Linked DNA regions of Ovis aries. The protein of the gene in region 2 interacts with the protein of the main gene of each other region in a pairwise test. Links are inferred from orthologs where the notes say so. Each region holds a gene or a part of one and is shown on either strand. Other genes may lie near its edges.

Region 1 (8,260 bases), on a different chromosome or scaffold from region 2:
CAGAAGGGTCTAAACCACGCGGCCGACACTGGAAGCCTCGTCAATCAGGCCGGACACTGTCTGCCTGGCCTCTCCCTGCTCTCCCAGCTGGTCTTACCCCCACCCCTCCACAACCAGCCTTTGCTCAGAGCGCCCTCCAAGCCTCCTTCTCCTCTCCAATAGGAGCCAAATCCCACCCCCTGAGTGCCAGTTCCTCCAGCCCCTGGGATGCCCCTTCTCACCACCGCCATCCCCCAGGACAGCAGCTGCAGAGTCAGGTCGCGTCTGCAAAGCAGAGAGAGTAGCACACTCCCTGCAGTGTTGTAAGAACGAAAGCAGCACGAGACCCAGAGCGCACCCACTGTGGCCTCTGGCACACGGTAAGCCGGCCCCATCTCTAAAACAGCAAAACCGCTAACCATTACTACTACTGCTGTGGAGGATCCCTCCTGTCCTCCATTTCCTTCGTTTCTCTCTCCAATCTGCTGCCAACACTTGCCGTCTTATCTGATTTAGGTCCCTGTCTCAGCTCCTTTACTAGACCAAACATCCTAGCAAGTGTTTAGCGTGGTGCATACTGAGAGGTGACAGAACCACCAAATGCATGAATGATTCTAAATAATCAACCCTATAGTCTGTCCACAAGAAAACTCACATTTACTGTTTGAAGCAAGATTAAGAAGCAATTACAGGAGCAGAACTTTTCGTCAAAAGCAACAGTTCTCAAAGTGTGGTCTCCGGACCCAGAGTGTCAGCATCCTCAGACCTTGACAGCCCACCCCAACGGACCCTGCCACCAGCTTCGACCAGCTCTCCAGGGATTCTGATGACCCTGACTCGTGGGGTCCGCAGGGCAAGAAGCAACATGGCAGCCCAGAACGAAGCCCAGATCAGGACAGGATTCTCCGCCGGACTCTGGCCTTGACCTGGCAGGAGTCTCTTAACCTCCAGGAGCTCCAGTTTCTTAGAAGCGATACAGGGATGATCATCACACTCAGGATTCAGGGAGATCCCATGTGCAGTTCACACCAAGTAGGTGCTTAAAAACTGTAAGTTCCTTCCCGTTCTCATCCTATCTCACAGGGTTGGGAAGACTAAATAAAACCCTGAAGCCGCCCCCTCGCACTGGTAACTAACTCCTCTCAGAACAAACACTTTGGCTCGTCAAGCTCACAGCCATCTCAGGAGACGGGGAGGCTCCCGCAGCAGTCAAGACCCCACACCACCCAGGCCCCGGACACTGATCCTGCAGCGAGTGGGAGGGAGCTGGTCCTCCAACACTCGGGTCAGGATTAACTAACTCCTCACTGATCTCATCTAAATGAATCCAAACTTTACTCCTGGAAAAGGATGATCTGAAAACATTTTTCAGTCAACACAGGAGAGCTGTGAACCTGCTGAGCACCCTGGACCTGGCTTGTGGTTCCCGGACACAACAACTGTTAACACAGGACCCCCTAAAACCCATTTCAGAAGAGAGCATCAGGCAGCACTCAGTCTTTCTGGGTACTCCTCAGCCATTTACACCATGGCGCATCCGGGCTCAAAGCCATGGCCTCTACTCGGGAACCACCTCCCAGGACAACGGGCAGCACGGAGACCAGGAAGCCCCGGAAACCACGTCAGATGTCAGCTGGGGCATGGCTGCCAGCTCTCCGTGTGTCTGACCCAACAGTGCCCAGGAAGCATGCGGCAGGCCAGCCCCAAGGCAGCGCAAACGGCCAATCCACCCACCCCCAGACAGTGAGCCCAAGGCTCTGCGGCTCAGGACACCTGGGGGGGTGCCTTACTGCTACAGAGGGCCCCTCGGAGCAGTGTTTTGACATCTCTATCCTGGGGCCTGGCACCCAGCACCCTGTCAACATGCCTGCTGAATTAGACGGATGGGGTGAGTTAGTTACAAGCCCCACAGCTGTTGAGGGAGGAAAACGAGGTCCAGAGAGACCGAGAGTTGAGCTCAATAATTAATGTGGCCTTGATGTCACCCACCCAGGACAGGGCTCCATCCTGGGCCCAAACCCAACTTGCCCCTGTCCCCCGTAGCCACCCCTGCTCCGCTTGGACAGGGGACCACAGAGGGGGGCCACACTGCCACTCGCCTCCTCCACCCGTCCCCGGCACAGGGGTCTCTTCTCTGCGAGTGCGGTTCCTTCCCCTTCCTCACCATCGGCCCAGGCCCCGCACTCCACAGTGTGCCAGCCTCCTGACAGCTCTCCCGTCCCCACGGGGCGACTCGGCACTGGCTATGGGGGCCTTCCATTGGTCACCACTGTCCCCCAAGTCTCTGTTCCTGGTGGTGACCCCATCAACCCTTTGAGCGCTGGGACAGCTCTGTAGGCTGTCCTTTCACCCCACTAAGCCTCAGTTTCCTCATCTTAAGGTGAGAAGGATAATAAAACTCACCATGCAGAACAGCCTCAGGAGAAAGTCACGGTGGTCAAATTGCTTCGTGTGGGGTAAACCTGCTGCTCCTACTAGCCAGCTTTGTTGCTGGGGCTTCACTCCTGCGTCTCCCTCCCTTCTACCAACCCCTGGCACATATACCTCTCAAGAACATGAACAGCACTAAACGTCATGAGGGTCACTTTTACACTTTGTCCCAACAGCACAGAACACATGTCAGAACCTATTCTGACCTCTAATCGCTTATCTGAACTGAGCTGCGAAATTCTCAAGGCCTCACCTGCAGGCTCACTGGCTGGCAATGAAGGGGCCCCATTCTCTTCATGGTCAAGCGTCCTAAGGGACGGTGGACTTGGGGCCTGGTCACAGATGGGCCTGTGGTCCCCCATCTCCTCTCCAAAGTGGAACTGAGCCAATCTCCCCACCCCAACCAGAGCACAAACTAAAAAGCTCAGGAGGGCTGCACCATTTTTCAGGGCCCCACAGCTGAAATGGGAAAAGCGACATTCACCCCAGGTCCTCCTGAGAGAAGTGTCATGCTCTTTTCATTGCTACCCACCCATACATCCCTTCTGTTTGTATATTTTAAAATAAATCTCCTTTTAACTTATACCCCTCATCAGCTACCTTGGTGTTTCAAAGGTAGTAACAGAGCCTCCTATTATAAAGGAGACAGAAAAGGGAAAAAAAATCCCCCCAAGTTTACTGGCTCCCTCCCACAACTGCCTGGAATTCAATACCAGAAATGAGTTTCTGGAATACGGATGCCGTGAAAGAGCACCTGAGGAAGAAGAAAGGGAGGTGGGAAACTCCAGAAAGGCAGGAAAAGACCCTCCAGGGCCTAGTGTCCATCACCCCTTATCAGAGACCCTATACCAGGGAGCAAAGGCAGGCTCCCAGGTGCCAGTCAGCCAACGGGAGAGGCGTCAATAATTTCACAGGCCCACTAAAGGCTGAAAAGTAAGCTGGAAATTTACAAAGCAGGAAATAGGCAAATCACTCCAGCCTAATCCCGCCAGGCCCATAAGGACGCCAAAGGTCCCTGCTCATAGAAGGCGTTTTACCAGTCCTTCCACCAACAAGGAGGAACCCAGTTTTAAAAGAAACCAATCCACATTCTTGACGGATCACGCCTGGCGTGAGCTCCCGCCTTGGGTGAAAAGGCACGTTGCTCATCAGTCAGGAAATTCCACGGGGCGGGTCTCTGGTGGTCCTTCACCTCCACCTCGGGCTTCCTCACCGGGATGCTGGTCATCCCGGTGCCCGGAGCCCCCAGAGGGTTTGCACTGCCGAGTAACGCCCTCTCCACCTGTCCCCAGAAGGCCGGCGTTGGCAGACTTGAGGACGCTGGGAAGTGACAGCCACCAGGCAGACAGTGGCTCCAGGGACATGAGGACCGCCTCTGACAGACGGAACTTCAGACCTGACAGGGCAGCGACTCGCACAAGGTCACGGGGAGAGTCGGCAGCAAGGCTCCCCGGTCCGGGCTCCGGTCGTCAGCCGGCACGGCCGTCCTCCCCACCCCCCCGCCAGCCTTCCCAGGGCGCGCCGGCCTCCCCGCTCCCCGCCGCGGAGAGTGGCTCAGCCCGCCGGGCCCGGGGCAGGGAGCCCGCTGGGACCGCGGCGGCCGGGTTGGGGCACGGGGCTGGGCCCCGCCGCGCAGCAACGCGCGGAGCACCGCCCAGCCCTCGGGACGCCGCGGTGGGGGCCTTACCGAGGCACTGCCCCACCGGCGTGCTGAACGGGTTCCCCAGGAGGAACTCCATCTTGGGCGGACGGCTCGGCAGCAGCCCGCGCGCGTCAGCCGCCGAGTCTCCGCGTCCCCTGACGTGCTCCCGGCCTGACTGACACTTGCCCCCACCCCACCCTCTGGAACGCCGGTGCCCGCCGCTGGCCCCGCCCCACCTGTCCCTATTGGGTGAGAACTGCCTTGCCCTCTTCCCATTGGTAACCACACCACCCTACGCGAGGTCCCGCCCACCCCGCGGCGTCCGATTGGGCGGGGTGGCTAGCTAAGTCATAGGAATTTCCGTCACCTCCCCTGGCCCGCCTCCCGACGAGAGACTGTGTATTTTGATTCGTTTATGTACTGGTCAATCGAGTGAATCCTTACTGTTACTGGACAAAAATCAAATCATTCACTCAAAAAGAGGGCAGGGGAGGGCGGGGCTAGTAAGTTCCCCGCCCAGGGAGAGTGCTGATTGGACAAGCATTTGTTTTCTCTAAGGCTGGTTGGTGCTGGGTGACATTCCCCGCCCAGAAATATGATCACGTGGCCGTCAACTTTCACCCAGGATGTCTACTCCCTGACTTCCCCCTAGCAACGGAGTGCGGCGCTTGGTTCTCCTAGCAACCCAGCTCAGCTACCAGGAACAGGTGGCAGACTGTGCCAGAGAAGCTGAGAGCCCAGAGCCGAGAGGCTGCTGAAGGACTTGACCTTTTCACGAAGGAGCCTGCTGGCCGCCCCACGCCGGTCAGGGCCTTCAGGCCTCGTGGGGAGAGAAGCTCGGGAAGGGTTTCCTATGGGCGCAGGCCCCAACGAGACCTTTAAGGTCCCACCCCCGGCCTCCGGGCCAGAGAGAGGTACCCGGCCCACTGATCCCTCTTCAGGAGGACATCACTGACCATCTGCCCGACCTCTCAACTGCTGCTACCTTGTTCCTCTTCCTTAGAGCTACCCTTAGTGAAGGGTTTTGGCCTGGAACGTGGATGCCCTGTCAGCAGGTCCCTTCCCGGGCTTCAGTTTCCCCGTCTGGACAGTCAGGGCAATAGGGCTCCCTTGTCTGCTGGCTCCCAGACCAGACCTGTAATTTGATCATGAACGTTACTCCAGAGCATGGTGAGCATTCAGAAGAGGGTGGTTTTCTCTTATCAATTCACGGCCAATAGGGGCTCCATTTTTCAGGTCCAGGTGATGCCAAGTCCTTGTTTCGCTGGATGATTCAGGATCTGGTTCTCTGTGAGGAGGTGTAAGGCTCTTGGCTGTTCTCCCCGCCCGCAACAACACTACTGTCAGGCAAGTCAACAGCAGCCCCAGCTGGGTGGGGAAGTACTGATAAACCCCCCGGGGGAGGACTGTCCTGGTTTTGGGCCAAACCTGGAACAGTTAGGAGAAACAGTGTGAACTGTGACAATGACCCACAGCATGCGGGTGCAGTTGAGTCTGATTAAGAGCCTGAGCTCTGCATGCCTGACCTGCCTCTGCATGCACGGGATGTGTCTCTCAGCATAGGTGTCACTTGACTTGCTTAACCAGCTTCCATTTTCTTACCTGAAAACTGCAGAGTCAGTCCCTCACATAAACTACGTTTCTAGAGGTCTCTCAAACCCACTTCTTACCTGCACCCCAATCACCTCTCGACTCTTGACATTCTCAGTGCAACAAGCCAGAATGAGCTTCTTCAAATTAAACTCTGATCACGTCACGTCCTCATCATGCCTTGGAGCTTCCTAGGGATCCTGGGATGATCACAACACCCCTGGAGGCCTTGCCACTCTGGGCATCCCGGTGGAACCTGCCTCCTCCTCTCCCAGCTCAGGACCCTCACCCCAAAGACCCCTCCTCCTTCTCTCCAGGTCTCAGCCCAGGTCCCCACAAGTATGTTGTCATAGTTCCCTACACCCACAGACTTGTCACCATTTATAATTAAAGGTTTGTATGATCATCCGAGTTGGGTCTGAAACAGGGGTAAGGAGGTCTATGAATCACAATACTCCTAAACCCACTAACCAAGTCTTATCCACGCATGTAGTAGCTATTCATTGCACATTTGTGGGCTAAATAAAATGATCTTAAACAAATATTGGAGGAAGGAGTTATCTGTCTTTTACAGATAGGCGGTCGAAGACTTGGAAAGCAAAGTCAGTTGCCCAAGGGTGCGAATCCAACTCTGGTGTGTGTAACAAACACAGATGTTCCACACTGCCTGATGACTGTTGGGCCTGTCTGGAAGCAGGCTCGACCCGGCTCAGGGACCAGGCCCTTGTGTGACAGGAGTGATGAGAAGTCAGCCAAAGTTTTGAAATCAGAGTATGAATCATTTCTCAAAGCACAGCACTTGTCTGTAAAGGAAAAAAAGGGTTGGGGGAAAAGCACCAACACTTTCAAGTAGCATCTGCCAAATATGGCACATTAAAATTTCCCCAGAGAGAAGCTGGTGTCGAGTTATGGGAAATTTTAGAAAAATTGTCTCCAAAGAATGGGGAGATAGAGAGAGGTAGAGGACTAGAAATGTCTTTCAGGGGTTGAGTCAATCAGCTGAAGGACATGAGAGAATGTGGAGGGACCCAGGAAGAGGGGAGACTCAGAGAAGTGGGTGCAGGAAGAAGGAAGCTGTGCCTGCTCTGGGGCCACTGGGATGCACAACTGCACCAGCTGCATGGCTGGGTAGGGTAGAGGCACCCAGGCAGGGGGTCTCTGAGACCAGGTGCAGGATTGCCAGGCCCACCCCACTTTGCCCAACAACAGGAGTCTCCCCAGCAGCGCTCGCTGGAATAAAAAGGCAATTGCGGGGCTGCATCATCGGACCAGTGGGGCAGGGAGGCCGGGTGTGGGCACGCAAGGGCCAAGGTAGGAGGTGAAGCCAGCAGGCAGGTGAGAACAGAGTGGAGAGTAGGGGGAAGACTGACCGTCCAGAGCATTCCGAGGCAGAATCAGGGCGTTTCCAGTAGCATGTGCCCTCCCATGGGGTCCAGCCCTTCTGGGTGTGCTAGGACGGCTGGTAATGATGGACTGTGGTCAAACTGCCCAGGACCGTGGCTCTGTCCAACCAAGAACAGCAGTGTAGGTTCGTCTGTGACCCACTCCGCTGTGCCTCAGCCAAATCCCTTTGGACCAGTAGCAACAGATACCTCCTGGGTTAGTTTAGGGAAACGAGGATTTAACTTGTGAAGTCAGTGCCCTGTCTAGGGGCCTGGGGTCAGAGGTCCAGGGGCCTGAGGTTGGAGCAGGAGGGGCCAGGAAGCCAGCAAGGGGAAGGCAGCCTCTGTCTGTCCTTTTGTCTTTTTTCCTGGATCAAGTTCCCATCTTGCTTCTGTCTGTCCATCTTCCACAGGTCCTGTTACTCTCTCACTCACCATGTCCCTGACCAGCCCTTAGCTCCCAGTGCCTTCCAAGCCAAGTAGCCAGCACTGACGGGTGCTTTGTCCTGAGGCCGCAGTTCACATCTCTCTGGGGAGGGTCACAAACAGCCAGCTTGAGTCCGTGTGTACCAGTGGCTACACCCTGGGCACCTGTGGTTGGGGGTGCTTACAGATATGGCCACCTTCAGAGGGTGAGGCTCTCAGGGAAGGGGGGCCAGGCCTGGCGGGCCTGGCAGGCCTGGCTGGGACCACCAAGGACTGTGATCAGTGGTTGGTGCCGAGAAACCCAACAAGGGTGGGCACAGAAAGCCAGAGGCCCAAGATGGCGATCGATGGCTTTGCAGGCAGCTGAGCTCCAGAGGCTAAAGGGACCAGTATGGATATCGGGGTCGCGGTTAGGGTCACAGCCTGGTTGTGGAGACAAGGGGTGCACCATTGTTGGTGGGCACCAGGCCAGCGGGGGTCTGGGGAGGCCCAGGTTTAGCAGCCAAGAGTGGGAGGGGCCTGCCTTCAGAGTGTCATGGCTGCCACGCTCCCCCACGATGCAGTGAAAGGATACTGGCCAGGCCCCACCCTCAAAGGGAGGCAGGAGAGGCGGCCTCAGCCAGGGTGTTGGTGTTTTACAGGAAGGATGAACCGGCTGTATGACATGGAGCCCAGAGTGATGGACGATGAGATGCTCAAGTTGGCTGTGGGGGAGCAGGGCCCACGGGAGGAGGCTGGGCAGCTGGCCAAGCAGGAGGGCATTCTCTTCAAGGACGTCCTGTCCCTGCAGTTGGACTTCCAGAGTACGTGT
Region 2 (6,957 bases):
ACCGCCTCGGGGTGGGGTCTGTCTCCATGTCCAGAGGCCGGGCAAGGCCTCCAGGCAGAGCGGCAACCGTGGCTGGCCGCACCGTGTTCTCATTTCCATGGGGCTCCACCCAGCTGGCCCCATCCTCAGTGTCCACGGCCAGAGGCGGCAGGGTGCCGCCCACACCGCAGGTTGCCTCTTGCCTCTCGGGAAGACCTCCCAGTGCCGGCGGTCACCACGCTGACCCAGCCTGCGGCCCAGCTTCCTACACAAGGTCGGCGGTGAGCTGAGAGTTCAGAGGCCTCTGACAGACGGGGACGAGGGCTGGGTCTGCTCCCGACACCCACCTCAGCGAGCTCTACAGTCAGCGCGCGTCTGGGGGCGGCGACCCCTCGGGACAACACGGCATGGAGGGCGAGGCAGCAGGAAAGACTACGGGGCCGCGGGCTCAGGACGTGGCTGCAGACGCCAGGCTGGGCCCCGAGGCAAGGTCCACCCGACCCCAGCGAGGCGCCCAGGGAGACCGCCACGGGGAGGAGCGGAGCTTCTTGTCCTGAAGCCCTAACACGACCCACAGCAGCTGTTAGTGTGTCTACCCAGGCAGGCGGCATCATGAGAGACCACCTGTCAACCCAGAAGGGGCCCAGCACCGAGGCCCTGCGGGGGAGCTGCTCCCAGGAGAGGCTCCCGGGAGGACGGCCAGCAGGAAGTGGGCGTGTGCACGGGACGCGCCGCCTCCACCCTTCAGGAAGCGAGAGGAGAGCCACCCCCCCCCGCCCCGACCACGTGGAGAACGGCTCCAAGAACCAAAACCACATGCATCCCAACGAGGGCGAGGACGGCAACACGGACGTCCAAGGAAGGGGCTACGCGGGGCATGTTCACGGGGATCTGCTGGGGACAGTGCTCGGGAGAGCTGGGCGGGCGGGCAGGCGGCGAGACGGCGGGCATGTCTAGGACTCCTCGCCCATCTGGAGCAGGGAGTTGATGGCTGCGTCCCTGCTGCCCCGCTGGGCCTCCAGCACGGAGCGGATCACCTCCCGGTCCATGTTGGGGAACATGTCCTGGATGGCCTTCAGGTCCTCCTCACGGCAGCGGGGCTGGGCGCTCACGGCTGGGGGCAGCGCCACAGGCACCACGCCGGGGCTGCACACGGCGGGCATCCCTGCAAGCAGAGGCAAGCTCAGTGGGCAGCCCCTCTGCTGCGGAGCCCAGGTCTCACCTGAGGTCTCCCCCACAACACGACCCCAGAGATCTCCCCCCACCTCCAACATGACCCCAGAGGTCTCCCCTCACCCCAACATGACCCCAGAGATCTCCCCCTCACCCCATGACCCCAGAGGTCTCCCCCCACCCCCGACATGACCCCAGAGGTCTCCCCCTCACCCCAACACTGCCCCAGAGATCTCCCCCTACCCCCGACATGACCCCAGAGGTCTCCCCCCACCCCCGACATGACCCAGAGGTCTCCCCCTCACCCCAACATCACCCCAGAGATCTCGGCCCCGGACACTGCCTCTCAGATAGGCCAGACGCTCAGGAAAAATGGGGGTGAGCAGACCTCAGCCATTTACACCACGGGGGTCAAGCCCTCGCACCACGGCCACCCCCAGCTGCCACCCCCCCAACCCCGAGCACCGAGACTCCCCCGCCGGCCCCTCTGCCGGCCCTCCAGGACAGGCCTTCCCAGCTGGGCACCCAGTCCCAGTCAGACCCCGTCGAGGAAGGAGACCCCACCGGGCCCAGCGTCCTGAGGACGGCAGACCCCCCCCTGCTCCACACGGGCAGCACGTGGGGCTCCGGTGTCAGCTCGCCACACCAGCCGCACCCCTTCACTCCCATGTGGACGCTGAGAAGCTCAAGGCATCTCAGCTGCTGGAAGACTCAGACCTGGAGCCACCAGAACCCAAGTCAAAGCTCCGACTGTCTTGTGAGGAAAACAGACCAGCAAAAGGAAAGACAGAGCTGCTGAGGTCCCGCGGCTTCAGAGACAGCCCTGGCCAGACAGCGCTCTGAAGGGCGGAAGCGGCTGCAAAACTACCTGTCTTTAGAAACTCAAAAGCACAGTCCCCCAACCAGGCCCAACAGCTCACATGGTCTCCTTTCCTGTCTGAGCTCAGAAGACCTTAAAGGCAGCTCAAAACCTTCCAAACCAAAACCAGCAGAAGAGCCGACAAGCGCTGAGGTACAGGGGTGCCGGCCGCAGGGGTGGGACCAAGCCTGCGATGGACACGGCTGCCTGCGGGGCCGGACGCGCACCCGAGGCAGCCGCAGGGCCCAGCCCCTCCCTCCCGCTGCCCCCCGGCCCCTCCCTCCCGCTCCAGCCCTCACTCTTCCCCGCACTCTGCTCAAGAGCTCAGAGGTTTCTCAGGGACACGGCCACCACCGTGCGCACAGCACCCTCGCATCCTCTCCCGTCTCCCAGGCTCTGAGCCTCCCACGCTTGCGTCCCACCCCGTCCTACAGACGTTCACAGGCAGGGGGACTGAGTCACTTCCAGTCAGAGCCTGGGTGGGAACTGACCACAGGCTGACGTGAAGGCACAGAAATCCACGAGAAAAGCCACACCCTACTCGACTCCGCTGCGCGTGAACCGCCGGCTCACAAAGGTGAACACTGCGAGAGGTCGAGAGCCGCGCACGGGGAATGGACGCGACAGACGCAGGCAGGCTCGGGCGTGCAGTCCGTCCATCCACCCGAAAGGACATGACCTTGTGCTACAGCGACTCAGAAACCATGCTTCCCCATCTCCATACACTTAACTCAACTTTTCTGCACTGACAGAAAAAAAAACAATCCTACCCCCTAAGCGTGCAGGAGAAGCCAACACAGGACAGCGGACCCCCGGTTTGGGCAGGCTCTCCAGGCACCGCCTGCAGACCAGGCCCAGCCTCTAGCTTGACACCCCACGCACCTCCCTCCTGCTCTGAGGCCACCCCAGGAGACGCGCCGCGAGGAGGGGAGACGCACCTGTGATGGGCACATAGCCCACACCCTGCTGGTACACGGTGGGCATCAGGACCACGGGTTGAGGCGGCATCATCATGGCAGCCGGCAGCGACTGAAACACACCAAAGATGACCCCAGGGTCACAGCAGAACACCCCCCCCGCCGCCTCACCAAAAGCTGGGGTGGGGGGCAGCACCAGGCCTGGGGCCCCACAGTCGAGGCTAGGACGCGCCCTGTCCCCAACCTCAGACGCCCGTTCACACCGCCTCCCCACAGGCCCCTCTGCGGGCAGAGGACGACGCGGGTGGAAGGCGCCTGTCGTCAGAGCCGCAGGACACGACTGAGAGCCCATCGGGAGAGGACGCTGCTCCAGGCTGCGAGCCGGAGCGCACGCTTCAGGCTCGAACCCCTGCCGTCCCAGACAGCCTCTCTCTGGCTGCAGTTAGTTAGACACAGCAGCAGCGTCCCATCCACATGGAAGCGTCTGCTGAACAGGTAGGATGCACCCAGCAGAAACGTGCTGATGTGGGAACCCGCAGTGACTGATCCAGTGCCAGGAAGGGGTGAGCAGGTACCAGCGCGGCGGCCCCGAGGCTGGGGGTCCGCCGGCCCGCCCCCGCGCGGGGAGCACCGGGCAGGCGCGGCGGCCTCACCGTGTACGACAGCACCAGGTTGATCATCCCCTCCTTGTCGTCGCCCTGCCGCCCGCTCAGGCTGTACCACTCGTCCACGACCTTGCCCTGCTTCAGCGCCTCGGGGATCGTCACGTGCGTCCAGGCGATGCGGTCATCCATGGAGAAGGCCCGCTGGGGGAGACGGGAGACGGCATGTGAGCCCAGAGCCCCCAGGGCCCTCCCCCCGCAGGGTGTGCACAGCATGGAGCCCCCGCCTCGCTCCCCTCCTGCGGGCCCACACGGAGGGAGGGGCTCCAATGAGCCACCAGCGCCGCCTGCACCAACCCGCGGGGCCGGGCCCCCGGACACGCGCTCCCCTGAACCACGCCTTCCCCTCCCGCTCCACCCCAACCCCTGAGGACCGCAGCCTCTCCCAGCCCTGCCGCCCACCCCACTCTGAGCCAGCCTCAGAAGGGCTGGGGCACGTGGAGGGCCAGGCTGAGAAGGGCCTGGGGCTCCCGACACCCCGGGGACACTCAGGAGGCTCCTGCCATTCCCCCACAAAGAGGCCAGTGCCCACCCTGCCAGGGCCTGACCGTGTCAGCCCTGAGCCACGTGCGGACAGCAGTGCCTGGCCTGACTGGTCGGGCGACGCCCACGCTCCGGACATGGCGGTGACGTGTCTGAGTGTAGGTTCCAGAGACTCTGGGGGCACAGAGCGCCTGTCACACCACAGCACCCCCCCTGCACACACGCCCGACGTTCTGGAGCAGCCGGGAGCCTGAGCCGCAGCGGCCCGCGTGGTGCCCACCTCGTCGAAGATCTCCAGGTAGAAGGTGTCCACGCCCGGGGGCACGGTGCACTGGATGACCTTGTTCCAGCGCGGGTTCTTGGCGCCGTTGTGGGCCGTGGGCGTCTCGTACACGGCGTAGCCCAGGCGCAGGCGGCAATAGGGGTCCATGCGGGTCATGCCGTAGTTCTTCGCCAGCTTGGCCTGAAACAAAGCCGCCGCGTGAGACGGGGCCGCAGCCGTGAGCCTGGGAGCCTCCCCGCCACCCACGGCTTCCAGGGCGCTCTGGGTGCTGACCCACTGGACACGGCCACCACTGTGCTGTCGGCCCTCCACAACCACAGGTCCAAAGTGAAAGAGAAAGGCGCTGGACCAGGAAAGAACATTCCAGAAACTTCCAAAAGCAAAACCTGAATCTGCCACACCAGCAACTGGGTTTACAGCCTTGTACCGTATAACAACCGAGCTCACGCGGCGTGTTCGGCATGCTAGGTGTCATGAGTAACCCAGGGATGGCTCTGAGCACATGGGATCTGTGCAGGCCACGTGCAGACCTGCACTGTTTCAGGTAGCGGCCTTGAGCGTCCTCAGACTGTGCTGTCTGTGGGGTCCCAGAGCCCGTTCCGAGGACAACTGTGCTTCGGGGCCCAGGAACCAGGAGGTGGTCTGGGCTGGGCCCAGCGTCTCAGGACACACCCACTGCTGGGCGGGGCTGGGTCCCCCCGACTCCTGGGGAGGAGGGTGGAGAGGGCAGGCCGTCCTGGGACAGAGTCTGAGCCCCGGAGAAGCAGGGGTCAGGGGCCCCCTGAGAAGCGAGGCCTGGCCAAGGCCTTCTCTGCATCCTCAGACAGTGACCGTGCCGGCCCCCTGACCGGGCAGGACTCTCTCAGCAGTGACTGACCCTGCCCAGTGCCCGGGGGGCCAGGAATCCGCTCCGAGGGGCCTGATCCCCTGGAGCCCACGCCTCACGGTGACCAGGGCTAGCGCCCTGGTTCCTGCTGAGCAACGGACAGACTCCAGGAAGCACCTGGGGCCTGAGGGCAGGCCCGTGACAGCCAGAGGGAAGGGAACTTTCCGTGGTGCTGGAGAAACGCTCTTATCACAGGGGTGGACACACGTGTCGAGAGGTCACAGAAACAAAAGCACGTTAATTCAAACCAGTGCGTCCTGACACGTATGTCACACTCAACAGGCCGATTCTTTTTAAAAGCCCCTAGAGCCTGCTGCCTGTGAGACGCCATCTCTTCCCGACAAAGGCTCTGTGGAAGCCCCGCCCATTGGGAGCCTCCTTGCACCCCTCTCGGGCTGACACCCCCTGAGCTCTGGCACGCCTGCCCGCGATCATGCCCCAGAGCCGCCCCTCCACGTAGGACCAGCTGGCCCACCTCCAGACACACACCTCCTGTCACCGCAGGACCTCCCCCTGAAGTCATCTCTGAGCCTCAGGCACATCCTCTCAAGCACCCTCGACTGAACGCGTCCGACACTGAAGTGTGGCTCTCCTCCCCACCTGCTCCTGCAGTCTCCCCTTTCTGGCCACTGCCCACCGCCCCTGGTGCCGGCGACAGGCCGCGGGGTCACACACCCTCCTCCCGCCCCAACTTGAGGGCTCTCGAACTGGGCTGGATGCCCCCAGGAGGCCAAATTCGGGGCCTTCCAGCCTTGCCCACGATCTTCCTGACACAGAGCCCGAGGGAGCCCTGGACCCAGCTCGGGATGAGCTGTCCGCTTCCCACTTACTTGCCCCACGCTGCTCGCTGCCCCTCATCCCCCGCCCTTGCCCCCAGCCCATGGGTGGGGACTCCAGTTCAACCCACGCTCTCCACAGTAGCCTCCGGCCGCCCACTGCTGCCCCCGACCCTCGGCGCCCGCGCTCGGCCCCACGGGCTCTGAGAGCCACACCCACCTGCACCACGGTGACGCTGAGGCGGCCCACGGTGCCCAGCGCCCCTCCGTACTGCAGCTGCTGCGCGGCCTGTGCGTCCAACTGGATCTGCTGCTGCTGCTGCGTGGGCGTGATGCGCAGGAAGTCCTGGGGCAGCTCCCCGATGTACACCTGCGGGACCACGGCATCAGCGCGGGGCCGCCCGCCCTGGCCCGGCCCCCTGCTGCACCACGCGGGTCTGGGGCTCCAGCCTGCAGGCCCCCTAGGGCCTGTGCTCCCGGGGGCAGGGCGCCCAGCACATGGGGCTCCGTGGAGGCCCGAGCACGTCCCTGCCTGAAAGCACATCTCGCATCCTCGCCGGGGCTGCAAGCTGCTCTCAGGCCTCAGATGCGCTTGTCGCGTGTTGGCGGTCCCAGCCACAGACCAGGACCATGGTGAGCACGGCCTCTCCACCACAAGCTGTTCACTGGGTGAAGCCTGAGGCCCAGATGCCCAGAGACTCGGAGCAGCCTCTGTGCAGACGCCTCGGGAGAACAGCTCGCCTGCAGAAGCGCCCTGAAGACCAAGAAGCCTGCAGAGTGACCAGCAAAGGCCACGGGACCCGGCCCTGGAGAGGGAAGGCGGCGGAAGGGCGCCTGGGCACACACCCGCGCGCGGAGGATGTGCGGTCTGACGGCGACAACTCCAAGGAGACCACAGGAGACCAAGTTCGGGCCAGCTGGGCTCCGCCAGGGCGGTGA
Region 3 (7,509 bases), on a different chromosome or scaffold from region 2:
CCTGTGCACCGTCTACTTCATCCCTTTTTAATGCACCGAGATTTGCCCCGTCCCTGTCAACTTCTACTGAATCACTCATGATCATCTGTTACTTAGTCCATTATCTAGTGTTGAGTCCTTGTCTGTCTTCAGCGACGTTCATCACATTTGTGCACTCCCTTCTTTTTGTTTCCAGACTGCGATTTCCACATCTGGTAATAGGTTCCGTGTTGTTCTCTTTGCTCCTGACTTTTCCATTTCTCTCCCCCTGGGCCTGCAACACTGATTCCCAAACTTGTCACTACACTAAAAACTGCAGGTCTTAATTTGAATGTCACTTCTCAGGCTTTCTCTAACCCCCAATTAAGTCAGTTCTTTCTGTTATATATTGTCAAGTCAATATCTTTCATACTATTAACACAAACTGCAAATGCATGTTTGCCTGCTGATTTAATTTCTGCCTCCTTATTAGATTTCCCCTCCATTAGGTTCAACATTATAAATCAGGCACCAATCATTTTCCCTTGTACCTAGTTAATTTTCAGTCATATGTCAAATGAGTGAATTGTGTATGTATATGTATATTCATAAGTACTCTATGTTCTGCTGGAGTAGAAATTCTTCACTTGGGGTTCATGGACAACCAGTGATGTGATAATCCCAGGACTTTCATGTAAGATTTTATGCTTTTCCTTAGGGAGAAGTTCCCTGGATCTCATGGAACGTTTAAAGAGATTGAGACACGCTACCACCCGGAAAGTAAGAACTATAGTGCCGGTGGTAGTTCTTCAGCCCTTAAGTCATGTCTGACCCTTTGTCACCCCATGGACTGCAGCATGCCAGGCTTCCCTGTCCTCTGTATCTTCCAGTTTGCTCAAGTTCATATCCATTGAGTTGGTGATGCTATGTAACCATCTCATCTTCTCCTGCCTTCTTCTCCTCCAGTCCTCAATCTTTCCCAGCATCAGGGTCTTTTCCAGTGAGTCGGCTCTTTGTATCAGGTGGCTAAAGTTTTGGAGCTTCAGCTTCAGCAACAGTCCTTTCAATGAATATTCAGGGTTGGTTTCCTTTAGAATTGACTGGTTTGATCTTGCAGTCCAAAGGACTCTCAAAAGTCTTCTCCAGCACCACAATCTGAAAGTGTCATGAGCTTTCAAAGTGGTAGGGAGTTCCAGAACTTCACCTCTCCAGCTTCTTGCTATTTCTTACCTTTAATATCTCCTATACCACCACATCTACTTACAACTATCTCATAATTAACTAGATTATAATCTGCTTCCTATTTGCTTGGAGAAACTGATTAAAAAAACATGCGTTCTTGAGACAACATACCTAGTTTAACCAGTTTCTAATTCCTTAAAGCACTAACATATTCAGTGATACTTTATCAAGCGGAATGAAAGTTTCACAATCCTGTTAGGACAAAATATTTAATGAACTCCTAAGCTTATCGTAATAAGCCTGGGACTGCATAGTGGCTGCCTGTTTAAGATGAGACAGGTTCTGCAGGCCTGCTTTACTCACTTACAAATCATTCCAAAACATCACTACACTGAGGGTGTGAACCAGGGGGTCAGGGTCAAAAACACAAATGCCTACACATGTCAGGCAGATCAGCTGAAGGTATGTGGGGGCCTGGTGAACTGAGACAGCGCAGCCCCAAACTATTGCTAGCATGTAAAAATGCAGGCTTGGCATTGTTGTCGTATCAGAAAGCATCCAGAGGTTCAGAAAGTTAGTGAAATATCCCATCTTTTAACTTGGCAATTAATTTTTATGTGCATATTTAAAATTCACATAGGTCAAACAAAGCACAGTTGCAGGCAAGATACAGCCTGTAGGCTGCTAGTTTCTAAACAGTCATTTCTATGAAAATGCTTTAATCATTTTAAACAAGTTTGGAGGTAACTTTCAGTTAGTCAAAATATATTAAAACTAATGAGCCTGTGTGTGCATGCTCAGTTGTATCTGACTCTGTGACTCCACGGACTAGCTCGCCAGGCACCTCTGTCCATGGAATTCTCCAGGCAAGAATACTGGACTGCGTTGCTATTTCCTACTCCACTAATGAGGCTACCATCCCATAAATATTTATATGCACTTGACCAATATGAAATCACAAAATAATACTGCTTTAAGGATTCCAAGTTAAAAAGTAATTTTTACATTAATAAGCACACAGTTGTCATAGGTAGTGAAGATTAAAAACAAGTTCTTATGTAAGTTTTTTTCTGGCATTAGTCAAAGAACAACTAAAATACCCCATCAACGTGGTACTTAAGAGTCATCAATCAGTGAATAGTGCCTGTCTCGAGCTGGAGAGAATCTGACTTTCTTCCAAGGCATCTATAAGGAATACACTAATGCACATGATGGTTCTGCTTATTTCTTAGTGTGCAACCCCAGTGTTTTTAAGTCACAAGGTCAAGCATGACAAGACCAACATTAAGAGCAACAACCACCACAAAATCTCATAAATCACTTTTATATAAGGTCATTGATTTCTGCTAAGGCCTGAACAAAGTTAAATGTATAACCAAACCCTGTGAGCTCTGCTACCAAAGGGAACCAAGACAAAAAAATAATCATTTTGTAAATGACTTACTCTGTGGTGACAGCAGGAGCTAAGGGATCAAACTCCATTACTTCACAGTAATTGGGTGGCTGGAGATCGTTCTTTGTCATCGCTGTAGGCAACAAGAAGAAACACATTGTGGTTTTTGAGGAGATACACACAGTTAATACTCTCTCTGACTTTGACTTCAAACAGAAGATCCTAATGAACACTTGACAACCAGAAACAAGCACACTGGTGTCCCAGCGCTACTGCCCAGTACAAGTCTACAGGCGCCCAGACTCAGACTAAAGGTTATTCACCTCAGCACTCAGAATACAGGACTCAGTGCAACACAAGCACCTCCACAGTCTCCTCATGTCAGTCACGGGGCTTCCCGTGTGGCTCAGCAGTCAAGAACCCCCTTGCCAATGCAGGAGATGTGCCTGGATCGGAAAGATCCCCTGGAGAAGGGCACGGCAACCCACTCCAATGTTCTTGCCTGGGAAATCCCCCGGACAGAGGAACCCAAGGGGCTGCAGTCCACAGGGCTGCAGAGTCGGGCATGACTTAGTGACAATAGCAACAGTCAGTCATAATGAAATCTGCCTTAAATTTACCTCATGTAGCTGAAAATGCAAATGCACTCTAATTTCTTCTCTCTGCGTATCTGTTTTTAGTCACCAATAAATCTCTAGCAGACCCATCTATTCTCATAAGTTTCTTTATTTGGTGCAGATAATAAGGTCTTAAGTACCTGGATGATTGCTAGGCAGAGGTGGCAGTCTCTGGTTTGATGGTGTTGCTGGAACGGTCTGTAGGCTAACTGGCTGCAGTAATACTGCATTTGAATGTTCCAGAAACTGAAGAGAGCAGAGCACACATTCAAATAAACATTCTAAGCTTTCATGATTTTGATTCCTAGCCTTCCAAGTGGCACTATCCCAAGAATCATATATTCTCAATCAGATAAGAATTACTAATCGTTAACTATTATTTTAGTTTTTAAGGTAATATCCCCTTATAAAACCTACTGCTGTTCTGTCTGGTTTCATGCTCCCTGTACCTTAATTCCCATATAAAATGTAAACTTAAATAAAATATATTGCTTAAAAAAAAAAAAAGCCAGAAATGTATGGCTCAGTCCAGAGTCTCCTGTCCCACACTGAATATAAAACCTTGGCCTCAAAGAGGCAAAACCATTAAGTACAAAAAAGCGTATCCGTCAGACCTGGTCAAGAGAATGCCTCACCACTGGGGACATGGAGCAGGGCCCTGTGGGCCCTGTGATTATCTGAGGGAACACGGGTCATATGCTCTGAAGCAGGCAGAGCCAGTGCAGCTGAAGCAGCGCAAGCCAAGGGAGGGGCTGGACATACAGCTGGAGAGGCAACGGGAGAGGTCAGAGCGGCTTCTCAGGCTTTGATAAGTGGAGTCAGAAAACCACAGGTGGCTTCAGAGTAAATGAGTAACATAAACTTTATTTTAAAAAAAGATTTGTTCTGGTTTCTGTTTGGAGAACAGATTGTATGATGGGGTGGGGGTGGAGAGGGAGGTGGAGGCTGGAACAGCAGCCCTGCGGGAGGCCACTGCAGTACCCATCTGATGTAGCTTGCGCTGGGATGTAAAAGGGAGGTGGGAAAAGGTGGCGGGATAACATATATTTTGAAGGCAAAGGTAAAATGGTAAAGGTCAAGCACAGTTTCCCAAGGTTTTTGACCTGAACAACAGAAACAGTGGTCATTTACAGAATGGGGAAGCCGGCCGAAGGAGCACATCGGGAGCTGAGGCTGAAAGAAAGCAAGGGGAGATGTGAAGTGACAGGTGGAAATGGGAGTTCTGCACGTGGGGAAGGGGTATGGACTGGAAACAACTTGTAAGTGCTCAGAGTCTGAGTGGTACTTCTTGATACGAGACCAAAAGACCAGAGAGGAAATAATGTGGGCAGAGAAATCTGAGGCCTGCCTCCCAGGGTCTCCAACACTGAGAGGCCGGTAGAGAAGAGGTCAGCAAAGGGATGCAGAAGAGAGCAGCAGGAGAGCCTGAAGGGAGTGGTGTCTCAAAGCACGTGGGCAGACGGGAGGAGGTGGCTGGCCTCAGCTGCTGCTGATCAGGTAGGATGAGCGCTGAGCACGGCAGGACTAGTCAGTCATCGGGAGGTCTCCAGTGACCTTGACAAGAGCTCAGCCCGCGAGGCGGCTGAGATGAGAACTTGTCTGACTGAAGTCTGTCAGAGGATGGGAGGAAAGAGAGCAAAGATAGCAACTAGAAACAGTTCCAAGGGAATTCTGTTCCTTTACTATCTTTCTGATGGAAGTGAGACTATACTTATCTTAAATGATTAAAAAGGCAACAAGGAAAAGCCCTAACAAGGGCTTCATTAACACCTTATGAAGAAATTTTGAGCAGAACTTGAGAATTAAGGATTGGGAGCTCCATTTTAGCATGATAATCTGCTCCCTGGGGGCACTGCCCGGGAAGGCCTTCATTACTTACACTCTCGTATGTATGACTTGAGGCGAGGTTTTGGCTGGTCCTTTGGGCAAACCTAGGATAGTGTGATAATACAGCATGATTACCCTACAGTGAGAACACAGTGCAAAAAGACGACCTTCCTGGTCTAAAAGCAATACCCCAGATGCACCTGCAGACTTCACGGAAGTATTACTTCTATAGCACAACTGCCAGTGGTGGTGGTGCCCACCGGGCCATAATGCCCAAACGCCAAAGAGAATGCAGACAAAGCCCTGGGGCTGGGCGGCGGCAGCCCGAGACCCCGGAGCGCACTCTGTCGGTCACAGCGGCGCCTTCCGTCTCCGCTCAGAGCAGCTGCCACCCCATCACTTCTACAGGATGAAAGGCAAGGCAGAGTAGAGGTTAGGATGGGGCACAGTTTGTAGTTGGAGTAAACACATTTGCCCTGTCTCTTTCACCAAATGCAACTATAAAATCTGGACAGAAGGCATGGGGCAAATATCTGAGACCTGCAAGGTAAATATTAATTACAAGCTAATTGGGAAAGAAGACTAGAATTGGAATATCAATGAATTGTTGGTGAACTTACCATGTTCTGCCCCTCTGGGTATTTCCGAACTGGCATGCAGTACAGCCTAAAGCCCAACTGGACAGGGAGGACACACAGCTCCAGGAGGACGCTCATTCTCACTCAAGGAGCAGGAAAGGGAAACCCTAGTGCCCAGAGTGTGCAGGGCAAGCCTTGGCCCTTTCTTCCTCTTCGTTCTCGCACTCTAATCCCCAGGCAATCCCCAGGTGGCCTCAGTGACAGCAGAGGCAACGGGGACCGAGAGTGGCTTAAACCTCTGAGAGGCAACTCCCACTCTAAGAGGGGAACCGTGATCATCCCAAGAGGATGAGGCAAAACCTTGTTTGTTTTATCCTTTCTATCCTGCCGTCTGGTCCCCATGACAAGCATAGTCAAGGAAATGCATGACACAGTAAACCTGCAGCTTTTTGACTGGAGAGACCAAAAAGGGAATCCCAGGAAGGCAAAGAATCAGGGAAATCACAAAGACAGAGGAATTCAGGACAATGACCTCCAAGGTGTTTATGAACTCCTGGGCTTACACCCTGATCTATGCATCCATGGCTGATCCCAATCAATGCCAAGTGAAAGTGAAAGTGAAAGTGAAGTCACTCAGTCGTGTCCCACTCTGCGACCCCATGGACTGTAGCCTACCAGGCTCCCCCATCCATGGGGCCTTCCAGGCAAGAATACTGGAGTGGGTTAAAGATGTTGAGAAATGAACACACAGCCTGCTGTCCAGATCTTACAGTGACAGATGGGTGGCACACGTTTGGGATGCATCTCAGTAACACTCAACGGCTTTGAAAATTTAACTGACATCAGAACGAAAGCACACAGAAGGCAGGCTGAAACTGCAGCATAAACTTCACTAGGCTGTCTGCCTGCTAAAATCAAAGTACCAACATTCAACACAGGATTTAGATAAGACTAAGATGGTGACTGCAGCCATGAAATTAAAAGACGCTTACTCCTTGGAAGAAAAGTTATGACAAACCTAGACAGCATATTGAAAAGCAGAGATGTTACTTTGCCGACTAAGGTCCGTCTAGTCAAGACTATGGTTTTTCCAGTGGTCACGTATGGATGTGAGAGTTGGACTGTGAAGAAAGCTGAGCGCCGAAGAATTGATGCTTTTGAACTGTGGTGTTGGAGAAGACTCTTGAGAGTCCCTTGGACTGCAAGGAGATCCAACCAGTCCATCCTGAAGGAGATCAGCCCTGGGTATTCTTTGGAAAGAATGATGCTAAAGCTGAAACTCCAGTACTTTGGCCACCTCATGTGAAGAGCTGACTCATTGGAAGAGACTGATGCTGGGAGGGATTGGGGGCAGGAGGAGAAGGGGACAACCGAGGATGAGATGGCTGGATGGCATCACCAACTCGATGGACGTGAGTTTGAGTGAACTCGGAGTTGGTGATGGACAGGGAGGCCTGGCGTGCTGTGATTCATGGGGTCACAAAGAGTCGGACACAACTGAGCGACTGAACTGAACGGAACTGAACTGAGATGATGATTGAATGGGCACTAAATCCAAGAATATATGACCCTAAAACAGGAAAATGGGGATCTGGGGAAGGACTTGAGAAACACAGGGGAGAAGGCAAAGTGAAGATGGAGAAAGACAGCAAAGTGTGTGGCCACAAGACACGGAAGTAAAGGGGTGTCTACGCTCCCCAGAATGTGGAGGACGGAAGAATGACTCCTCCCCTCAGAGTCCTGGGAGGAGGCGCCTTGCTTCCTTTCAGACCTCTAGTCCCCAGAACTCTAAGAAGGTGAGTTCCATTACCCAGCTTGCGGTAATGTTTTTATGACAACCACAGGAAACAAATACACTCAGCAAAACAAAGACAGCCACACTTAGACATATCATAATCAGACTGTTTAAAATTAGAAAAAAGAAAAGTTCTTCAAAGCACAGACAGAAAGAAGT
Region 4 (7,186 bases), on a different chromosome or scaffold from region 2:
ATTTAATTGGTAAGGTCCGTCTAGTCAAGGCTATGATTTTTCCAGTGGTCATGTATGGATGTGAGAGTTGGACTGTGAAGAAAGCTAATTGCTGAAGAATTTATGCTTTTGAACCTTGGTGTTGGAGAAGACTCTTTAGAGTCCCTTGAACTGCAAGGAGATCCAACTGGTCCATTCTGAAGGAGATCAGCCCTGGGATTTCTTTGGAAGGAATGATGCTAAAGCTGAAACTCCAGTACTTTGGCCACTTCATGTGAAAAGTTGACTCATTGGAAATGACTGTGATACTGGGAGGGATTGGGGGCAGGAGGAGAAGGGGACGACAGAGGATGAGATGGCTGGATGGCATCATTGACTCGATGGATGTGGGTCTGAAGGAACTCCGGGAGTTGGTGATGGACAGGGAGGCCTGGTGTGCTGCGATTCATAGGGTTGCAAAGAGTTGGATATGACTGAGCGACTGGACTGAACTGACCTGAACTGACTATAGTATTCTTGTTTTCAAACATAGTTGTTGCTCAGCAATACTTTGCCAAGACATCCACCTGAAACAAATTGGATCTCCAGTCAGAGATTTGGAAATTTATTTTTTAAGCTGAGTCACTAAATTGGATTTTGATATCCAAACTAATAAGACCCTTTTAATATTGTGTAGAATAAGAAATAAATTTGGCATGTTTAGTTGAATATTTTTTATAAAAAATTATCCTTGAAGGAAATTGCAATGTTTATCATTATATTATTTTATTTATGTAGAACTTATTTAATGCTTTTGTATGTTAATATTGTATTTGTATAACTTGTGTAATTTTCAAAGCATTTATTATTGTAATACCTAATATTGGCTTCCCTTGGTGGCTTAGATGGTAAAGAATATGCTTGCAATGCATGTGACCCAGGTTTGATCCTTGGGTTGGGAAGATCCCTTGGAGGAAGGCATGGCAACCTACTTCAGTATTCTTGCCAGATAATTCTGTGGACAGAGGAGCCTGGCAGGCTACAGTCCATAGGGTCTCAAAGAGTCGGACAGGATTGAGTGACTAAATTTCACTTTTACTTTTCTAATATTGCCAGGTGCTTCTCAGGTGGCTCAGTGATAAAGAATGTACCAGCAGTGCAGGAGACTCAGGAGATGTGGGTTTGATCCCTGGGTTGGGAAGATCTGCGAGAGGAAATGGCAACTCACTTCAGTATTCTTGCCTGGAAAATTCCATGGACAGAGGAGACTGGTAGGTTACAGTCCATGAGACTGCAAAGAGTTGGACAAGACCTAGCGACTAAACAACACCATATACGTGGTTTCACATCAAAAGATTCAACCAACCTTGGATCATATAGTATGGTTTTAGGTATTTATTGAAAAATCTGCATATAACGGTACCCCCTCCATTTAAGGGGCTTCACTGGTGGCTCAGACAGTAAAGAATTTGTCTGCAATGCAGGAGACCCATGTTTGATCCCTGAGTCAGGAAGATTCCCTAGAGAAAGGCATAGCAACCCACTCCAGTATTCTTGCCTTGGAAATCACTTGGACAGAGGCGCCTGGTGGGCTCCAGTCCATGCGATTGCAGAGTTGAACACGACTGAGCGACTTTCACTTCATTTCAGTTTAAACTCGTGTTGTTCAAGGGACAGCCATAGCCAGGTATCTTACATGTGTTATTTCATGTGGTCCTTTTGGAAATTTTGAAAAGGTAGATATTGTTACCTCTGTTTTACACCTGAGAAAATTGAGACTCAGGTTAAGTGCCTTACTGAAGGTTCAAAGTCAGATTGAAAGCCACATCTGAAGAAATCCAAAATCTATGCCTTATTTTGTATAATATGTTGCTTCACCAAACCAGTATACATCTTCCTGGGGACCTATCCTTTTGGTGATGGCAGCCATCTCTCCATGTATCTGTGTCATATTGGGAATGTGCACTTAATGGGATCTGCCACCAAATAATTTTGATTCTAATAGGGATTGCATCAGAAGGAATCTAGTTGAATGGACCTGGGAGGAATAATGTGATGATATGTCAAAGCTAGGAACATACTTTTGTTCATCAGTGTCAGTCACCACACTTGTAAATCCAATGACTGGATATATTTATTCTCATCAATGCCACCATTTTCCAGAGCCTTCCTTTATTAATACACTTATACAATTAATCCAGTGATACTCTATTCTTAGTGTTGTTACTTTCCAGATCATGAAATGATAAGATATTTAGAAAGAAATGTAATTTTGTAAATCTAAGCTTATTAAATGATTGTATTACTTTTCTATGATATTTAAAGAGTATAATGCTATTTATAAGTAAAAAGAAATTCAGGAGAAGAGCCAAAAGTATTTCATAGTTTTCAAAGAATCAATATTAATATTGAGGAAATAAAATGATACTCAGGGTGCTGCAACATCTTTTTTTCTGAAAAATAAAATAAAAGAGCATTTTAAAATCATTAGACTGCTTTCTATAAAATTCCTGAGATGTTTTCTAAATTGCTTAAAAAGAAATAAAACTACATTTTCTTGCATTGGTTCAGAAGGTCACACTATACTGAAATCCCTTTAGTATTTCTGATTAAAAAGCTTGAATTATCTTGCATTGCACACAAAGCCACATTATAGAAGAGAATTTTCTAAAGAGGTGCTCACACTATTCACTTCTGGTTGTATTTTTATTAACTTTTTTGAATCTAAGAAATGCTAAGTATTCATTTTCATAGGAGAAATCAGAAAAGACTCAGAGGAAGCAGGGGACAGATTTTAAAAATCTTTGCCTTTTACTTTTCCAATTCAGGCCAAATTATTTGCTTTTTAGTGTGTATTTTTTACATGTTAGACCCATCCCACCCTGCCCTTCTATCAAACACCCACTAGCCTCATAGCCAGTGAAACTCATTAGGACAGGTAATCAATTAAAGTAATAGTTAATATAAAAATCATGGAATTTTAAATTTCCATGTGAATATGCACTTAAAAAAAATTACTTTGAGACTTTTTTTCATTCCAAACTAACACAGATGTATTAGCATTACTTTTAGCTTGCAAAGTGAAGTAGTGATTTGGGGGAACTGACTTTGCATATGAGCTTCACTGGTGGCTCAGATGGTAAGGAATCTGTTTGCAGTGTAGGAGACCCAGGTATGATCCCTGGGTTGGGAAGATCCCCTGCAGGAGGGCAAGGCAAGCTGCTCCAGTATTCTTGCCTGGAGAAGCCCCATGGACAGGGGAGCCTGGTGGCCTACAGGCCATGGGGTTGCAAAGTGCTGAACATGGCTGAGCAGCTAAACATAGCATAGCACTTTGCATTTACTGTCTGTCTGTAACATGGACCTAGTATATTTGCTATTTGTGTTCTCAGAGTTTATGAAAAGTTTATGGCATAGACAGACACTATCCTCAAAAATTTATTTTGACTAAAAAATTTGCTAATAAAATTGCTCATAATTATTGTTAGCTTTGTAGGAATATGTAAGCACTAACTTGTTTTTTTTTTTTTTTCATTTTGGTATATGCCTTTAGTTATTCTTACAATTTTTTTCTTTTAATTTAGGATATGTCATGGAACATAAGGCACGCCTCTTGGCAAATACCTACCCTAAACTCTAAATGATTAGGACAACATCTTATGGTTCCTTCAGGCTATCAGTCTTGGCCTAGTGAGAAAAACATACATAAAAAGCTTTTATTAAATAAAAATTACATTAGATTCTGATTATCTGTAAGAAATTATTGGTCTTTTTATTCAAGGTTAAGACCATATATTCTACTATATATTAACTTTGTCATGATTTTCATAACTAAGTCCTATAAATCAAGCATGAACTTTATTTTTATACTTTCTATTTAGAGACCCATTTCTTTCATAAAAAGAATCTTTGATTACTTTACCTTCTTTTCCATTAGCTCTGTGGTAATAATTGGGTCCACAGCAGAAGTAAAAAAAAATGTTGTGCTGGGTTTTTGTGAAGTTGAAGGAGTGAAAATTCTTGCATTGGTGCGCTGAAAATTTATCATTTCTTTTTGTAAGTATGGTGACACTTCTGCTGGCTATGAGGGTGAGAAAGAAAAGTGATTACAAGTTCAAACACAAGGTCAAAATTGGGAAGAATATAAAGTAGTAAAGCAAGGATTTTATTTGAGAAGTAAATGCCTTATTAGTTTTCTAGACTAAAATCTATCCTTTAGAAAGAGTATGTATATATGCCAGCAAACACAGATGTCTTTTAATACCTGACTTTAAATGAGTGTACCTGGGCTCCAAAATCACTGCAGATGGTGATTGCAGCCATTAAATTAAAAGACACATACTCCTTGGAAGGAAAGTTATGACCAACCTAGATAGCATATTCAAAAGCAGAGACATTACTTTGCCAACAAACGTCCATCTAGTCAAGGCTATGGTTTTTCCAGTAGTCGTGTATGGATGTGAGAGTTGGACTGTGAAGAAAGCTGAGTGCCAAAGAATTGATGCTTTTGAACTGTGGTGTTGGAGAAGACTCTTGAGAGTCCCTTGGACTGCAAGGAGATCCAACCAGTCCATTCTAAAGGAGATCAGTCCGGGGTGTTCTTTGGAAGGAATGATGCTAAAACTGAAACTCCAGTACTTTGGCCACCTCATGTGAAGAGTTGACTCATTGGAAAAGATTCTGATGCTGGGAGGGATTGCGGTCAGGAGGAGAAGGGGATGGCAGAGGATGAGATGGCTGGATGGCATCACCGACTTGGTGGACGTGAGTTTGAGTGAACTCCAGGATTTGGTGATGGACAGGGAGGCCTCAGTTCAGTTCAGTCGCTCAGGCGTGTCCCACTCTTTGCAACACCATGATTTGCAGCATGCCAGGCCTCCCTCTCCATCACCAACTTGCGGAGTTCACTCAAACCCACGTCCATCGAGCCAGTAATGCCATCCAGCCATCTCATCCTCTGTCATCCCCTTCTCCTCTTGCCCCCAAAGAGTCGGACACAACCGAGCGACTGAACTGAACTGAACTGATGGAGAATATCTGGCATGTATTAGCTCCTCAGTAAATAGTTGATGAACTGAGTGAATTGAATCTTGTGTGGCAAAAGATTACAGGGTGAACGAGTAATAATTGTTGATGGAATAATAATAACAGTTTCATTAAAATGCACAATAGTGCAAGGAGCTATAGTCTGTCAGTTGCTGATTTCCAGTAACTATCAAAGTGTGGTAAGGAAACTTACCATTGCAGCCATTTCAGGAGCTGTGCCTAGGAAGGGATCAAAGGCTGGTTGCTGCTGTCCTCCTGGCATAACCTTAAAAGTTGCAAAGTTTAAAATGGTATAAATTAATAATCCATAAAACATTTATCTTGCACCTAAGGCGGTTATACCCTTGTCACCTTCTTCAATTAGTTTGTTAAAAACAAAAATCATAATTTGGTTTTGAGAAAGAGAAAAGCAACTCCTGACACTGAGAAACTGGCCTAACGCAATAGCTCTGCTGCAGTGTTTGCAGGAGCTGGCCTGACATTCTCTGCTGGATGCTAATGTTCTCCTGTTGTACCTTAACAATCCTACAGAATACCAGGCAAGGTCACCTCTGAACACGATGAAGTGCAATCAAAGAAACAGTACTTGGTAATCTTGCCCACAGCAAGGTCCCTGTGCAAGGCATGAAAATATCAGGCATCCTTAGGTCCTGGATAATCTGAAGAATTTCTTTTTTTTAAAATATAAATTTATTTAATTTAATTGGAGGTTAATTCCTTTACAATATTGTATTGGTTTTGCCATATATCACCGATCATGGTCTTTGCTTCCCTCCATCATTCTTACTTAAAAAGAAAGAATTGTTGTTACCCAGTCATAGAACTACCCCCAGTTCTTGAGATTCTTTACCATCTGAGCTACCAGGGAAGCCCAGTTCTTGAGAACTCCAAATCAAAAGTAACGTGACTATTTGAACTCTCCCCCAGATCATTGACACAAGACCAGACCCTGTGAGATGTCATTCCAATCCTTCCTGTTAACACACTCCACAGTTCCCTATGGTGTGTGACCTCCCTTGTTGCAGTAAGTGGATAAATCCAATTTTGTCCAACTAGAGGTGTGTTCCTGGTGGGTTTTTGACTAAAGATCACTGGTAGATTTAATAGTTTGTTTAGCAAGTAGTTTCAAAGCTAGTTTTTCTTTTTTTAATGAAAAATACATTTACTTACAGGTTCTACTTCTTGTGGAATATATCCAAATTCAGTATAGAATGGCATCTGTTAGAATTTTTAAAAAATGTGTTAGATCACTCTTATGATTTTTGTCATAATGCAGTGATAAATGATTAAAATATATGTATATTATACTGTACTAATACTTTTTTGAAAATTTATATGTTCTAGGTAGTAAAAATAATTGTTAAATTACCAACCATCCTTTTAACAGCATATGATTTCTAGGTTAAAACTCTCCCTTTCTCTTTAAATTAGTATGACTTAATTGGAAGTACTACTACCAGTCATTTGAAGCATAATTTTCAGTTTTTTGTAATTGATTTGATAAGTTTTAAGTGATGATAAATTAAAAATCTAATTTGCATTCTAACTAAAAGTAACCTAGATATGTATGAGCTATCTAAATTTATATTAAAATTTTACTATTTTATTAAAGGTCCACAAAACTCAATATTGCATTACCTAATTGTATCTCATTGCTTTCCATATGACTCAGTGGTAAAGAATCTGCCTGCTGATGCAGGAAACCATGGGTTCAATCTCTGGGTTGGGAAGATCCCTTGGAGAAGGAAATGGCAACCCACTCCAGTATTCTTGCTTGGGAAATCCCATGGACAGAGGAGCCTGGCATGTTACAGTCAATGGGGTTGCAAAAGAGTTGGACACGACTTAGCTCCTAAACAACAGCAGCAGTTCATTCAAAATTCAATCTTGGTGTGTATTTCCAAATTAGTGTTATGCTAAAAGAAAGCAGTATATCCTTTTATGACCATCAGTTCAAACCACTGAGTTTTTGCACTAAGTATAAACCAGATATTCTCTTTGAAATTTTACCTTTTCTTCTTTATCCTTAGATGGAACTAGTTAAATTAAAATCAAACGCTTGTAGTACCTGCTCCTCAAATAGCTGCTCTCTTGTTTGCGGAGGTGACTGTGCGACTGTTTGTTGAGGCTGTTCCCAGGGTAGGAACATGTAAACTGGATAGTACTGAAGCATCTATTGTAA

What was found.
Region 1: the proteins of TOLLIP (region 2) and TOM1L2 interact in binary tests that used the Homo sapiens proteins (3 or more experiments, as listed by UniProt). The link is inferred for Ovis aries from reciprocal best matches to the Homo sapiens genes TOLLIP and TOM1L2.
Region 3: the proteins of TOLLIP (region 2) and TOM1L1 interact in binary tests that used the Homo sapiens proteins (3 or more experiments, as listed by UniProt). The link is inferred for Ovis aries from reciprocal best matches to the Homo sapiens genes TOLLIP and TOM1L1.
Region 4: the proteins of TOLLIP (region 2) and ODAM interact in a two-hybrid assay, tested with the Homo sapiens proteins (2 studies listed by BioGRID and IntAct). The two-hybrid records come from large-scale screens. The link is inferred for Ovis aries from reciprocal best matches to the Homo sapiens genes TOLLIP and ODAM.

What each region holds. Positions count from the first base shown.
Region 1 is NC_056064.1:34,301,137-34,309,396, reverse strand, and holds the start of TOM1L2 (TOM1-like protein 2), read right to left. Parts: upstream 4,229-8,260; 5' UTR 4,149-4,228; coding exon 4,097-4,148; intron 1-4,096. Other genes in the region: DRC3 (dynein regulatory complex subunit 3), read left to right, coding at 8,096-8,252. UniProt on the Homo sapiens protein: Acts as a MYO6/Myosin VI adapter protein that targets myosin VI to endocytic structures. May also play a role in recruiting clathrin to endosomes. May regulate growth factor-induced mitogenic signaling.
Region 2 is NC_056074.1:46,571,095-46,578,051, reverse strand, and holds part of TOLLIP (toll-interacting protein), read right to left. Parts: intron 6,389-6,957; coding exon 6,239-6,388; intron 4,537-6,238; coding exon 4,354-4,536; intron 3,735-4,353; coding exon 3,582-3,734; intron 3,041-3,581; coding exon 2,950-3,040; intron 1,145-2,949; coding exon 933-1,144; 3' UTR 1-932. UniProt on the Homo sapiens protein: Component of the signaling pathway of IL-1 and Toll-like receptors. Inhibits cell activation by microbial products. Recruits IRAK1 to the IL-1 receptor complex. Inhibits IRAK1 phosphorylation and kinase activity.
Region 3 is NC_056064.1:4,928,316-4,935,824, reverse strand, and holds part of TOM1L1 (TOM1-like protein 1), read right to left. Parts: intron 5,082-7,509; coding exon 5,030-5,081; intron 3,397-5,029; coding exon 3,291-3,396; intron 2,667-3,290; coding exon 2,585-2,666; exon of another isoform or gene 1-2,584. UniProt on the Homo sapiens protein: Probable adapter protein involved in signaling pathways. Interacts with the SH2 and SH3 domains of various signaling proteins when it is phosphorylated. May promote FYN activation, possibly by disrupting intramolecular SH3-dependent interactions.
Region 4 is NC_056059.1:86,350,852-86,358,037, reverse strand, and holds the end of ODAM (odontogenic ameloblast-associated protein), read right to left. Parts: intron 7,178-7,186; coding exon 7,073-7,177; intron 6,223-7,072; coding exon 6,175-6,222; intron 5,270-6,174; coding exon 5,198-5,269; intron 4,040-5,197; coding exon 3,881-4,039; intron 3,646-3,880; coding exon 3,616-3,645; 3' UTR 3,587-3,615; intron 2,412-3,586; 3' UTR 2,127-2,411; downstream 1-2,126. UniProt on the Homo sapiens protein: Tooth-associated epithelia protein that probably plays a role in odontogenesis, the complex process that results in the initiation and generation of the tooth. May be incorporated in the enamel matrix at the end of mineralization process.